Linked DNA regions of Oryzias latipes. The protein of the gene in region 2 purifies or fractionates together with the protein of the main gene of each other region. This does not show direct contact. Links are inferred from orthologs where the notes say so. Each region holds a gene or a part of one and is shown on either strand. Other genes may lie near its edges.

Region 1 (2,512 bases), on a different chromosome or scaffold from region 2:
GCTTTCCAAAAATTCCATGTAAAGACCACAACTTTTCTTACTTTTCCACGTATATTCATGTAGTGGCCACAAATTAGACCTAAACGTAACCAGGATCTCGATAAGCCTTTAATTTATCTAACTGATGTTTCTCCCTGATGGTCAATTTTCAAACAGTTGGAACTTCCGTTATTAAAAAAGGACGCCAACCATCGCTACTACCAAATCCAAATCCCTGACTCAAAGTTGAAATGGTTTACCTTTCAATGCGGCGTTTTGTACGTGAAGCCAAAAAAAAGACTTAAAAACTTGCGTAGCGACGTGAACTGGAGGATTTTGAACGGGGCAGCCCGAATTGCGCATTTACCCGCGTTTGCATAGCTTTTTCATTGAAAGTGGCCGCTTGAACTCACGTTTCTGAGCATAACGTCAGACTTCAACCAGCATCTCCGTTTCAGGCTACCTTCCACACCCCCTTCAGCCAGCTGGGCCAGAGTGCTGAGGGATGCTCCTCCTACACCTTCCCCAAGATGATGGGCAATGCCAAGGTGCGCCCACTGCAGCTGCTGGTTCCTCCTGAGTGCAGAGCGACCTCCTGACCTGCACGAGGGAATGAATGTTGTCACGTGTCTGCAGGCCTCCGAGATGCTGCTGTTCAACAAGAAGCTGACGGCAGCTCAGGCCTGTAGTCTCGGCCTCGTCACCGAGGTTTTCCCCGACAGCAGCTTCCAGTCCGAGGTCTGGAGCAGATTGAAGGCCTACGCCCAGCTGCCTCGCAAAGTAAGCACATCAAGGCTCACACGTGCACACTCACCCGTGCACTCACTGCAGAATCATGCGTGAGTGCAGATGATGTTAGGTTCCTGCCCAACAGTTTATGGAGTTTTGACGCTGCTGGCCTTGTCCCCCTCCCTCCACAGTCTCTGGCTCTGTCCAAGCAGCTGATCCGCTCCATAGAGAAGGAGCACTTGTACGCCGTCAATGACGCAGAGGTGGAGCGCCTCATGGAGCGCTGGACGTCAGATGAGTGCTTCAACGCCATCATGAGCTTCTTCCAGGCAAAGGCCAAGCTCTGATGGACCCCCCCCCCCCACCTCAGAACTAAAGCTTCAGCTCCTTCGTCTTCACAAGAAGTTACCGACAGCAGCTAACAAACAGAAGGACTTCTGAAACCCTCCTCATCGTAGATTCATCCCTCCTGAGAATGTTAAAAAGAAGAGGAGGCGTTCAGGTGAACTCCGTACTATTCAGAGGTTTATCTCTAAATGCAGTTTCTGGAATAAAACATCTGCAGGTTCCATAAGCATCTTTTTACTGAGAAGGACATTTTAACCTTTAGGTGTTTGTTAAGAGTTTCTGGATTTGCTAAAACTCATCTAGTTATATTTTATAACATTATTGAACTAAAGTACAGAGAGTCATAACAGAAAAAAAATGTTTACCAGGTGCTATGTTTCACTTTTACTGAATAAAAAAGTGCCAGAACAATCCACGACCCACTTATTCAGAGTGGGTCTTTAAATTCATGTATTTTTTAGCTTGTAACTTCATTTAGATCAGTTCTTAAATTAAGGAGAGACTGTTGTTATTTTCCCTTAATGCATAAAAATTTAAATATAATGGTAAAATTGGGTGAAGGATCAATACAAAGTTTTTGCAGGAAGGGCTGAGTTATATTTCTGCTTTGACTGGACAAATTGGCCTTCGGCTCCTGAAACAAACATGTCCTCATGTAAAGAATAAGACAACAGACGCATCAAACCTGCTGCTGGCAGAGCTGCAGGGTGTGGTTGCTTGTGAAAGGAGACCGTGGTGTTTTATCTGTAAGGAGAACAGGTTTAAAACATCTCCATCCACAACACGTGTTTGAGATGACTTTAACATTCTCGTCCAGCTAGTGTGGACCACAGCTTATCATGGGTTTTAACTTGGTGTGCCTCATGGCTCAGTTTGGGGGTTTGTCTTCTTTTCTCTGCCATTGTTGCTCTGATATGTTTGCTAAATAAAACTGTTTCAACTTAATTTGTGGCCAAATCTTTGACCAATTGTTGGTGATATCCCTAACCTGAGATGACTTTTAACCACTGTGGAGAGGAAAACTCAGAACCAGGGTTTTTAATATCAGTGCTTCCGCTTCGGTTCGTTTGCTGACTGTTATTACATCCCAAACTGACAGAATCCTCTCTGCTTGGTCTGTGATCGTTTGCCTGGCAAACCTAGTACAGGCTTTGCAGTACCATCTGTAACCTCAGAGAAAAGAGAGAATCTGCCGACGTCTTGTTTTGTTGTTCTGGCGGTTCCTCGTCTTGAGGATGAAGCTCTGTGTAGAAGCTGCTCCTCTCAGAGTTCCTGTCAGGCTTCAGCACGTTTGGGGGTTTCTGTCAGTTGAACAAGCAGCAGCAGGAAATAACCTAAAACTGAGTCTGTCTGAAACCACAACTCCACTCTCAATTGAGGTCACAGATACGTGACCACCTGTCATGTTAAATATTAACGCCCCTTGTTTGCTTTTCATTCCTGCTGAAGCCAACAT
Region 2 (3,567 bases):
CCCCTTCCACGTGTAATGTACAATAAATACGGAGGGTGGGGGAGGCAAATTTACTGGTAGCACATGTGCGACTGGATGTAAAATTCAGTCGCACACTCAAATTTTGGTTGCAAAATGCGACCAAATGGTCGCGGTCTGGAGCCCTGTATCCTAAAATAAAAAGGGAATACTGCATCTCATTAAAAAAGGAGAGAAAACACACCTGTCCCAAGTATGGCTGTGGCTCTGGTCCATGAGCAGAATATCATCCACTTCATCTTCAATGTGGAAAGGATGCAGAGAGATGGGCTCATCCAGGGGGAAAGAGTAGTCGGCCATATAGGGGTGGGCCAGGGCTTCCTCTGCAGTCAGGCGATCCATTGGGTTAAAGGTCAGGATCTTTTCCAAAAAATCCAGGGCTGCAGAGAGAAAAAGGATGATAAGATCAAGTCAGGAATTGACATGATGCATGTGACATGTGACTGCTTTTCTGTTGGATCCTTGATTTCACTGAATTCTCATGAGACGCTCACCCTGTGGACTGACGTCAGGCAGCAGCTTGGCCAGCGGCGTGTGAGGTTTTGACATGTCGCTGCGGATGAAGACCGGGATGACACTGTGAAGCTCTTGTCGGTCTTCCTCTCGCAGGACAGGGATGGACTCCAGGATCAACTGCATCTGCTCCAGCTCATGAGCTCCTGGAAAAGAAAGAAAATCTTAGTTGTACATGACACACATAGCTGAAAACAAGAATAACAAGTATCTAGGTCAGTTTTAAAGAGACAGGAATATAAAAAAAACCTTTAAGTAAACATTTTTAAAAAGGAAAAATGAACACTGCTCATCCAAAGTCAATTTTGTTTTGCCAAAAAAAAAAGACCTTTATGACAAAAAATGTCTGTAAAAATTGTCTAAACTACAAGAGTAGAAAGACAGGCAGATAAACATTGGTTTATTATCCAGAATAGTTACACCTGTCAGCGCATTTGACAAAGTCAAACATTTTGCTCTAAAAATCAGCTCCATTTCAAGAACGATTGAAATGAAATCCCTGCTGTGACCCACATTTACCTGCAAACAGGGTTCTCCCTGTGAGCATCTCTGCAAACATGCAGCCAGCAGCCCACATGTCGATGGCTTTGGTGTAGTTGTTAGGAGAGAGCAGCAGGCGAGGAGATCTGTACCACTTTGTGACAAGACCTTCAGAGAGATGGCCCTGTGATCAACAGAGACCAGGGTAGTTTAAGTTAGATGTTCAAAGAGAAAACAAAACTACAAGACAGAGTTATTCCAATAGCTAAGTTCTTTGTTTCAAACTACAATTGATCCATATCTAGCTGACATCTAAACATTTGTCTTTTTCTGGGCTGTTGCTGTAAATGCAATAACCCCATTGAAATGTGATAAACTTGGGTGTCATCTCCTTCACAGACTTGCACTCTGTGGGTCACGTACACCACACGTGCTGTGTAGGTGAAAAAAAAAAACGAGAAAGGGAAGAAAAAGGCTTGAAAGGGGGGAGATCAGACACGTGCAGACCATGTCAGCAGTCTGGGACAGGAGAGTAATCTCCCCCACCTCTGCCACACCGCTGGCACAAAGCCTCTCTACTCTCAAACAGCGCCTGACTCGCCACAGGACCGAACACAAAGGAAAGCGGCCTGTGTGGGAGCGACTGGGGGGGAGGGGGAGTGGTAAAATAACACCCTCACTTCTCGCTCCCGTCTCCCCCCACATGCACTGCTTGTTTGGGGTGAGACCAAAATGGTATTCTTGCCATTGAGCAAGGCTCCTGTTCCTGCCCTAATTTAGCTGCAGGTACTTGAGGTCACACTATTCTGGGGTGCATCACTCCTTTTAAAAGTTTGTTTGCAGTGCAACATGCAAAGACATGACCTCTTCCTGCAGGTAACAAGCTAATCTTGTAGTCTGAGGACAGCTTGTGAAGGAGGTCAGGCAGAATTAGACTACACACAAGTCATAGCTAATATCTGACACCTGGCAGAGCGGACCGATACTCATCCAGAGAAGCCAATTGTGCAGACGACTTTGTGACTGTGGTAATGTGTAGGTATGTGTGCCATCAGTTCAGCTAAGGACAACATAAATCAGATGACCTTCACCTAGTTTTTTTTAAGAGAACAATAACCTGAGTTGGACCAGGAAAAGATCAGACCATGACAGCCATTGAATGGCTGAGAAATTCAAGAAACTTCCATTTGCAGACGTGCTACTCTCTACAGATCAGCCCAGGCCACCTGAGAAATGTCACGCAGCAACAGCAGCTGCACAGATGACAGTGATACTGCTCAAAATTAGGACTGACCAAAGAAACAAGCATGATTAAGATAAAGCCAAGCTAGCCCTCTGTCATACTGTTACACGCCCAGACCTCTTTTATTCCTCATTTTTTAATTACGGTGTCTGGTTTTATTTGTTTATTTTTGCAGCTCAAAATATATGCTGCCTATGACTCGTTGTGGTCCTTTACCTCATGGACCTCCAGAGAGTATATCTGCTTTCACCCTGTATTGAACCGCACCAGTAAAACCACATGAAGCAGCGTGAACTGTGGGAAACGGACTCTGGTCTGGACCAAACAGACCTGCTGTAGAAAAAATAAGTTGGATTTTTAGCAAAAAGCTTTAAAGTTTTACCAACTTCAACGTAGGGCACTTATTATGAAACCATACTATGCATAGTCATATCCAATAATGTATTCATCATTTCAACAGCTCTGACGACACTTTTGGAATAACTTTAACCCTTGGTGTAGATCACAACACACCATCATGTAGTGACTCATAAGTTTTCTATGAAATTACTTTCCGTTTCCTGAAGCAAGTCAGACTAGATGTCGGTAAAAACAGCGGAAGAGAATCAAAAAGATCATACTGTCCTTTGCGTACAAGAGAAACCAAGAAAACTTACCAACCATAAATCCTGTTAAACTCAAAACAGTCTTTTACGGTTAATTGATTCTGTTAGGGATAATGAGAGTCAACGACCATGGTGGCAACATTTCACTATGGACCTGCTTTACATACTAAATACAACATTTATTATTTAGGGAGTTTCTGTAACACACAAGGATTTCATTTACTGCAGTCTGCGAATGGAGTACTATTAGTAGATGAAACAAAGTCAAATCTGTTTGGATTTAGGAAAACAAGCAAAACCTCTCGAACTCACTGATCCTTAAACTTCCTTCCAAGCATTCTTCTTATAAGCCCTGCAGCCCGATACCAGACGGGCCTGTTGCTGGCATGAATGGTTGGGTCAAATGTGTGCGTAAGAGTGACATTGCACTTGTGATTTGCAGCTGCAGGGAGACCGTGTTGCAGAAAAGACCTCTGTGAACTCTCCTTTGAACACAGCCGAGAGCCTAAGCCAGCATCTCAAATTACTTCATTTTACACCGAGCCACATGCAGACACATGTTCCCAATGATCATACATTTGCTCCTATAATTTTACCAAAAAGAAAATCCCTCCGAAATCGTATGGACAAAAAAACGCATTCTCAACGTGGAGTATCAATTGAAGAACATATGTTAAGATCTTCAAATGTGTCCTCATCAACCCCCCA
Region 3 (3,567 bases), on a different chromosome or scaffold from region 2:
CGCTGCGCTCCAACGAAGTGTTCCAGGTGCGGATTGACAAAATGGTCGACAAGTGGGCGGGCTCCATTGAAATTGGAGTCACAACGCACAACCCCGCCTACCTGCAACTGCCCTCCACCATGACCAATCTACGCTCAGGTGAACGACCGCGGTGCCTTTTTTTAAAGCAGGTCGGTTCGGCTAGTCGGAGGCTAATCTTTTGATGTTTTCAGGGACGTGGATGATGACGGGGAACGGCGTGATGCACAACGGGACGACCATTTTAGACGAATATGGGCACAACCTGGATCGACTCAAAGTAGGTGTTAGTAGATATCAGTGTTGGTCTTTGGGGTATTTATTGTTTTGACATTTTTCTTGCCCGTGCAGGCAGGCGACACAGTCGGCGTCGTTCGGAAAGAAGACGGCAGCCTCCATTTTTTCGTGAATGGCGTGGCGCAGGGCCCCGCTGCCTGGAACGTGCCACCCAGCGTCTACGCTGTGGTTGACCTCTACGGTCAGGCGGCGCAGGCCACCATCATGGACGACATGGGTGAGTCAAAGGACTTTTTGGGGGGGGTGGTGGTGGTTCCACAGTGGTTCATGTTTGTGCCTCTGTTGGCAGACCTCCCCCCTCTGCCGGAGGACAGCTCCGAGGGCCCCACAGCCATGTCCCCTGGCAGTCCCTGCTCAGTAGCTGGAGCCACAGCAACCAACGACCTGCGCTTCCACCACCTCCACGGCACCAACGCCGTCATCACCAACGGCGGGCGCACCGCGCTGCGTCAGAACTGCCGCAGCGAGTTCAACGACGCGATTGTTATTTCCAACAGGTCAGACAAATAACATAAAAATCACTTTGAGAGACTTTGAGAAAACCCTTTAAAGAGGAGATCAAACAAAGACCATCACTCTTTAGCTCACCGGTAAATAGAACACAACAGGAAGTTCTGTTAATTTATTCAGGTTGAAAAAAGGTTATGTTTCTTAGTTGATTACTTACTCAAATGCTCACACGTTTATCTGACCTGGCATGAACTTTACTCGTTGCAGGTGCCTTCGAGATGGAGAGCTGTTTGAAATCGTCATCCAGAAGATGGTGGACCGCTGGTCAGGTTCAATAGAAGCAGGTTTGTTGGCGTCTCTAATCGATCCATTGAGTTCACATCCACGACATTTGAAACTTACATGAACTTTCTTACGTCTCTCTCTGGATTTTCTGTGCGTTTAGGAGTAACGGCCATAAGGCCAGAGGAGCTGGAGTTTCCAAACACTATGACTGATATCGATTACGATACTTGGATGTTGAGGTAATCAATTGAATTGTCCGGGTGAATACTCGATTCTGATTGGCTGCTGGGTGTGGATTAAAAAGTAATAAGTAATAAAAAGAAGCTTAAATGTTTTATATCACTGCGTTGGATTCTTTAAAACGAACTTTTGCTTCATTATTAAGAGGTGAACTTTCTCTCTGAACTGATGCTAATTTTAACACATCGTGATCATCAGCATATATATCGCTTTCCTTTGCCCCTGCCAGTTCAGTGCTGGCTAAGCGTGTTACGCGCCGCACCACATAACAAATAGTCCGCTTTTTGTAAAAAAAAATAAAAGAGCGATCTAAACCGAACAAATAACCAGAATAAAGTACTATAAACTAGTTGAATATTTATTTCTTTTGTAACTTACCATGGTATAAGCGGGTTAAAGACCTTCGAAATGTGCATTAGGAGAAATGTCTGATGATGATCGTCAGCCATTATGCCTTGTTTTTTGGTTAAGAACCAAAGTAAAAAACTTTGAATTTGAAAGCTTTTTTGGAAATTTATTTATTTATGAAACATTTCACACTAAAAGTTGTAAAAAAAACAAGATACATTAAATCAAGCGAGAAAAAAAATATATATATATTTATCATTCTTTTCTACTAGATGATTGTCTTTAAGTCTATTGTAAAGCGTTCCCAGTGGTTTTTTAATTATAATTATACCGTTTTAGCCAAAATCAACAAAACCTGTGTCGTTTTCAGGACATAGTTTCTGTAGACCGGCAGCAGTTCATCAGAAATTCAATTTTAAGTTGTGGGAGCAGCCCCGCCCCCCTTCCCCTCCCTGTTACTAAGAGTTATTGGCCCGCCCAGTGTATTTTCTATGTAACAAACGCGCTCCTTTTGAGACGTTTTTATGTCTGCTTCTGATTCATAATGATTTCAATACAGAAATGCAGTTTAAGCTGAATTTTCTTTATATTTGTCTTTCATCATCAGAAAAACGCTACATGAACATGTTAAAAACACCATTTTCACCAGAGCAGGTCTTTAACTCTGATATAATGATACCTTTATAAGTGACTGTGCCATTACATTTAAGGGTGCTGAGTGACTGAACAAGTCATCATTTGGGAAGAAAAGTTACTCTTCAGGACAAAGTGGAAGAAAGCTCCATCAGAAAGAGACTCTGTAGCCACGTTCCGTCTGTTATGACCCGTTCTAAGAGGACAGGAAAGAGACAAACAAAACTAGAGAAAGAACTACAGACGGACCAGAGATAGAAATACTGCAACATTTGAGACTTTTTTTTTTTTTTAACGTAGTTCTTCTTTGTTTCTTTTATTTCTCCCAGTGGAACAGCCATCATGCAGGATGGGAACACAATGCGCAACAACTATGGATGTGATTTGGACTCCCTAACTACGGGCTCTAGGATAGGCATGATGCGCTCGTCCAGTGGCAACCTCCATTATTACATAAACGGCGTGGATCAAGGAGTCGCCTGCTCGGGTCTACCTCCAGGTAAAGTCCCCCGGTGGACTGCATGCACTCCCTGATCCGTTGCAAGCCTCAGGCGGTCCGGCTGAACCACGGATGGGTGTCTTTCTGTCTCAGAGGTGTACGCCGTGATCGACCTATACGGTCAGTGTGTTCAGGTGGCCATCACCAACTCCTCCGGCCCGCTGGACAACAGCCTGTGTACCAGCAACATCACAGAAAAGAGCTTCCCTATCCACTCTCCAGGTACAAACATCAAAATGACGACCGAAAGCTTCGAGTGACCTTCCAATGACTGTGCTGTTGTGTCCGTGTGTGTGCGTCTCTGCTGCGTGGGCAGTAGCAGGCGTCGCCCATCGGCTGCACAGTAAACACGGTAAAAACGTGGTGCTGCTCGGCGAGGGCTGCCAGGCCGTCAGAGTGGGCGGGTACTCTCACGGCATCGTGTTCAGCGGGAAGGAGCTCAAAGCCGACGAGTTATTTGAGGTAAAAGAAACACTGCTGCGTTTGATACAGTGGACAGTTTTAACTCGGGTCTGGAGCAAAGTTTTGGTCCCACAATGATCATCCTTTGATCTATCCAAGTGTTCCCAGTGGTCTTTAAATTATGAATGTGCCATTCATAGCCAAAATCATAACCCTGCATCGTTTCTTTATGACATAGTTTCTGTAGGGTGGCAGTAGTTTGCTCTTAAGCTGTGGGCGGGAATGTTGGAGTGTATTTTCTACGTCACAAATATGATGTTTTTCCAACAGCATTTTTTTTGTCTGATCCTGATTCACAATGATTTGGATAAAGAAATACTCAGAAATGCAATTTT
Region 4 (3,567 bases), on a different chromosome or scaffold from region 2:
TTTTTAGCCCCCCTAGGGTGTTATTTTAATAAGCAAGAACAGCGCTGGATGCAGCAGTTCACTGCAGGCAATACATTACAGAGCAGAGGCAATACATTCAGCGGGATAGAGTAGAGGGGCTGTGGTCAAGTAAAGCCATAGAGAGATGATACCTTTGCTTTAAGAACATCTAATGACTTCCTAACTGTAAAAAGTGCAGACGAGGCAGGTAATAAAGAGTGAATTAATAGTTGCTGTAGTTTGCTTCTTTCAGGTCTTCAATTAAACTACATCAGCTTGACTTTAACGAAGATTTTTTTGTTGTTTTACTTGCTATTATGATGAAAAACAAAATCTTAAAGACCCTGTTGGTGCTTTAGAGAATTACCAAATGCAAACAAAGATACATACTTTTATATAGTCTTGGTAAATAGACAACTTTCTGCTTATTAGTGTAAGTCAGGCAGAGAGGTCGTATAAATGCTGAAATGGTTGAAATCAAGGTCGTGGAAAACTGCGTACTTTTGCATTTTTTTTACTTATCAGTTTGATCATAACGCTTCGTCATGAAAAAGTGTTTGTAAGTCAAACTTCTGCTGATGTCTGTGAAATCTATTTCTAATTAGGTGTCCTCTTCTAATGCATTAGGGTAACTACGTATGTCTGTGTGTAATGCTACGTTCACACTGGGCTCGGAAAAGTGCGTCCAAACGTCCGCTTCCAATGAAAACCTGCCTCTTTGTGTTCTTTTGTTTTGGGTTAAAAACTCTGGCATTCATCTGTCGCTAAGCAAGTTTTTAGACCCATTACCAGGTTCAACGTTCACAATGCGCGGCAACTGAACGCATGCTGAAGGTTTAACCACTTGAACTTTGACCACTCAGGGATTTGGTAGTGATGTATGACTAGCGTTCTTTTCAAAACACGGAACTGCCAACCATTTAAAAATCCATTGTGAAGGAGAAAATGAACAATATCAATTTGTGCCCGTCTGGATTTATATGACAGCAAGTCTGTCATAAATTGGAATAGAGCTGTGAAAGACAATGCCTGGAGTAAAATTTGTGAGATTTGCACCGCTTCGACATTTTGCACCAAGGCTCTTCCAACTGTGAATCCTTGCACTAGTATCGGGTGGCAACAGACCTGTGGGAACACCATATGCTAAAAGTGCGTTTAAAAACCCACTTTCATGTTCTTGAACACATGTCCGGTGTGTTCATACCTCTAAACGTTTTTATGATGCTCTACGAAAAAAGGTGAAAAACCCTGAAAACAGACTAACATCTCAAAGCATTGCTACCTTGTCTATCATGCGTCTGGCCTCCTCTTCCTCTGGATTGCTGTTCTCCAGTTCGATAGTGTAGGTCCCCTTATCGCTGTGATCATCCTCTGCTTCTCCACCAGCAGGCCGAGCTTCTCTGCCAACCAGTGAGGCGTCCTCACTGGGGGTGGTGGGGCTGCCGGTTGCCAGTCCGGTGCTGGCTGAGCTACGACCTATGCTATGATCCTCTGACCTCTGCTTGAGGAGCACACGGGCAGCTGTTGGGGCACCTACAGTCACTGTTGCTGGTATTGGAGCTGGGACTTTACCTGACAGATGCACATGCAGGCAAATACACAACCACTGAAAAGTGTTTTTCCAAAAAATGTTAATCTTATTTTACAAACAGTCGTTTTTAGGTCTTTTGTGTGTGAAAGCATTCATTCACAATTACCTGAGTCTGAGGCTGTAGTGGCAGACGTGGAAATGCTGAACACCTTTGGGTGAGAGGGAGGCTGAGGACACAGGCCCTCGCCTCCCGTGCCTCCCGGAAGCAGCGGTGCAGTCTGGGAAAATGAATATGACCGCCGCTTGCGTGGGTTTTCCTCGTCGTAAAGTTCGATCATGAAAGCTGTGCGAGTTCCAGTTGTTCTGGCCCCGCCCACAGTTGTGTTCCCCACCACTGTTCCTGTTGTTCCTGGAGCGTGGCCGTGCGCCGCCTTCAGGCGTTCCTCGAGGGCATGACGTCGACTGGAGAAACGAAGGCCCAGTCCGTTCTCCGAGTCGCTCTGGGTGCCATCCTCATGTTTGCTTCCTACTGAGAAACAAACAGAAACCAGATAAATGATTAGAGTTAATATTTTTTTTACCAAGAATCAAGTGGAAAAGAGCTTTGTTTTCTATAAAAATGTCCAACATTATATTTTGCAATTTTTGATAACAAAGATCTGGTTTTAGCACTGTGAAAAACCATACTTCCTTCAAATCTAAATCACATTTAGTGTAATCTTTACAAACAAAAAATGTGTTAAGTATTAGAATGCAGTAACATGAGCAGTGATCTGCATCTGAGTTATTTGCAACATTTTATAAAAAAAATATACACACCTGACTGCACATCCCCTAAAAATCCACCATACCGGTCGTTAAACAACTGAATTTTTTTCAAACCATAAGAGTCTGCAGCTGTGGCCGGATTCTAACCTATAAACCATCAGATAAATCATCATGTGATCTCCACAACACATTACAGTCGCCTTACATTCACAAGTGTCTGGGCTGAATCAGCAACCAGGCTGGAGACAGTGTGCCACACCAATGCAGACAACCCACCCACACAACCACTGGCCCTGCCCACTTCACTGCCAGCAGGCTGGCGGAGGGGGAGGGAGCAGGAAGGCAAGAAGGGAGGGGTCAGAGATGAGGGAAGCAAGTGCGAGAGTGACAAGAGGAGGTGTTAAAAGAGGGGAGGCGAAAGGGGAAAAGGGGGAAGCTGAGCTAGGAAGGAGGATGGGGGATGTGAGGATGAAGGTGGATGTAAAACAATCAAGTCAAAACATAAATAAAACAACAAAAAAAGGGCAAATTATGGTCTTCTGGTAATTTGAGAAAAATTGTTTGCATTACAAATGTGCCTTTTTCAAATGATTTCACTCTTATTTCCAGACATAAGCCTCTGATGCACAGTCTTCACGTACACTTGCATCTCTTATTTCTGGCTTCAGAAAAGGCCAGATTCTGAATCTTTTTACAAATAAGAATCGCTGAGTAGTTCCTTCCATGTGCATATAGACAGGAACAGATACACACTAACATGCTTTGCATGAAAGTTCTTCAACATGACAAGGTAAACGCAGGAGCAGCTTCTTTTTCCTTTATGGAAAAAAGTGCAGTTAACCTTATTCATAACATCTGCATATTTGTAGATAAATTACACATTTTTAAAGAAAACACAAACTTACAGTTTAGTTTTCATTCAATTACACCTTCTCTCATATTAAACCATTTACTATAATCATTAAGTAACCTGCAAGGAAGTGTAGCCAGATCTTTAATAATTGACTAGAACATTTGTGAAACAATCCAAAACAGAACTTACTTTAACTGGTGCCCAATGAAGCATAGGTTTTTCTATATGCGGATTGTAAAAAAAAAAAAGAAAAAAGCATAAAGAAAAGACCAAATAAAGTTTTAGCCAGCAGATGAAGGGGACTGACAGATCAGCAGGAAGAGAAGGACAGCTCTTTGGTGCTGTGTGTACCCGGCACAAAGCAGCCCTTGGCAGGACCAGGGGAGAACAGAGGTGTCTGTCATAGTCCAGGGTT

What was found. The genes of interacting proteins can lie anywhere in the genome.
Region 1: the proteins of mapk6 (region 2) and eci2 purify together in Homo sapiens (affinity purification with mass spectrometry; 3 studies listed by BioGRID and IntAct, with this or other methods). This does not show direct contact. The link is inferred for Oryzias latipes from reciprocal best matches to the Homo sapiens genes MAPK6 and ECI2.
Region 3: the proteins of mapk6 (region 2) and neurl4 purify together in Homo sapiens (affinity purification with mass spectrometry; 6 studies listed by BioGRID and IntAct, counting the BioPlex papers as one, with this or other methods). This does not show direct contact. The link is inferred for Oryzias latipes from reciprocal best matches to the Homo sapiens genes MAPK6 and NEURL4.
Region 4: the proteins of mapk6 (region 2) and cep170 purify together in Homo sapiens (affinity purification with mass spectrometry; 3 studies listed by BioGRID and IntAct, with this or other methods). This does not show direct contact. The link is inferred for Oryzias latipes from reciprocal best matches to the Homo sapiens genes MAPK6 and CEP170.

The regions. Positions count from the first base shown.
Region 1 is NC_019878.2:4,767,944-4,770,455, reverse strand, and holds the end of eci2 (enoyl-CoA delta isomerase 2, mitochondrial), read left to right. Parts: intron 1-437; coding exon 438-527; intron 528-615; coding exon 616-759; intron 760-899; coding exon 900-1,055; 3' UTR 1,056-2,001; downstream 2,002-2,512. UniProt on the Homo sapiens protein: Able to isomerize both 3-cis and 3-trans double bonds into the 2-trans form in a range of enoyl-CoA species. Has a preference for 3-trans substrates.
Region 2 is NC_019861.2:13,638,130-13,641,696, reverse strand, and holds part of mapk6 (mitogen-activated protein kinase 6), read right to left. Parts: intron 1,196-3,567; coding exon 1,051-1,195; intron 678-1,050; coding exon 513-677; intron 399-512; coding exon 203-398; intron 1-202. UniProt on the Homo sapiens protein: Atypical MAPK protein. Phosphorylates microtubule-associated protein 2 (MAP2) and MAPKAPK5.
Region 3 is NC_019876.2:14,658,425-14,661,991, forward strand, and holds part of neurl4 (neuralized-like protein 4), read left to right. Parts: coding exon 1-138; intron 139-212; coding exon 213-298; intron 299-369; coding exon 370-532; intron 533-604; coding exon 605-812; intron 813-1,032; coding exon 1,033-1,109; intron 1,110-1,210; coding exon 1,211-1,289; intron 1,290-2,600; coding exon 2,601-2,770; intron 2,771-2,863; coding exon 2,864-2,992; intron 2,993-3,086; coding exon 3,087-3,232; intron 3,233-3,567. UniProt on the Homo sapiens protein: Promotes CCP110 ubiquitination and proteasome-dependent degradation. By counteracting accumulation of CP110, maintains normal centriolar homeostasis and preventing formation of ectopic microtubular organizing centers.
Region 4 is NC_019873.2:16,500,190-16,503,756, forward strand, and holds part of cep170 (centrosomal protein of 170 kDa), read right to left. Parts: intron 2,061-3,567; coding exon 1,698-2,060; intron 1,573-1,697; coding exon 1,283-1,572; intron 1-1,282.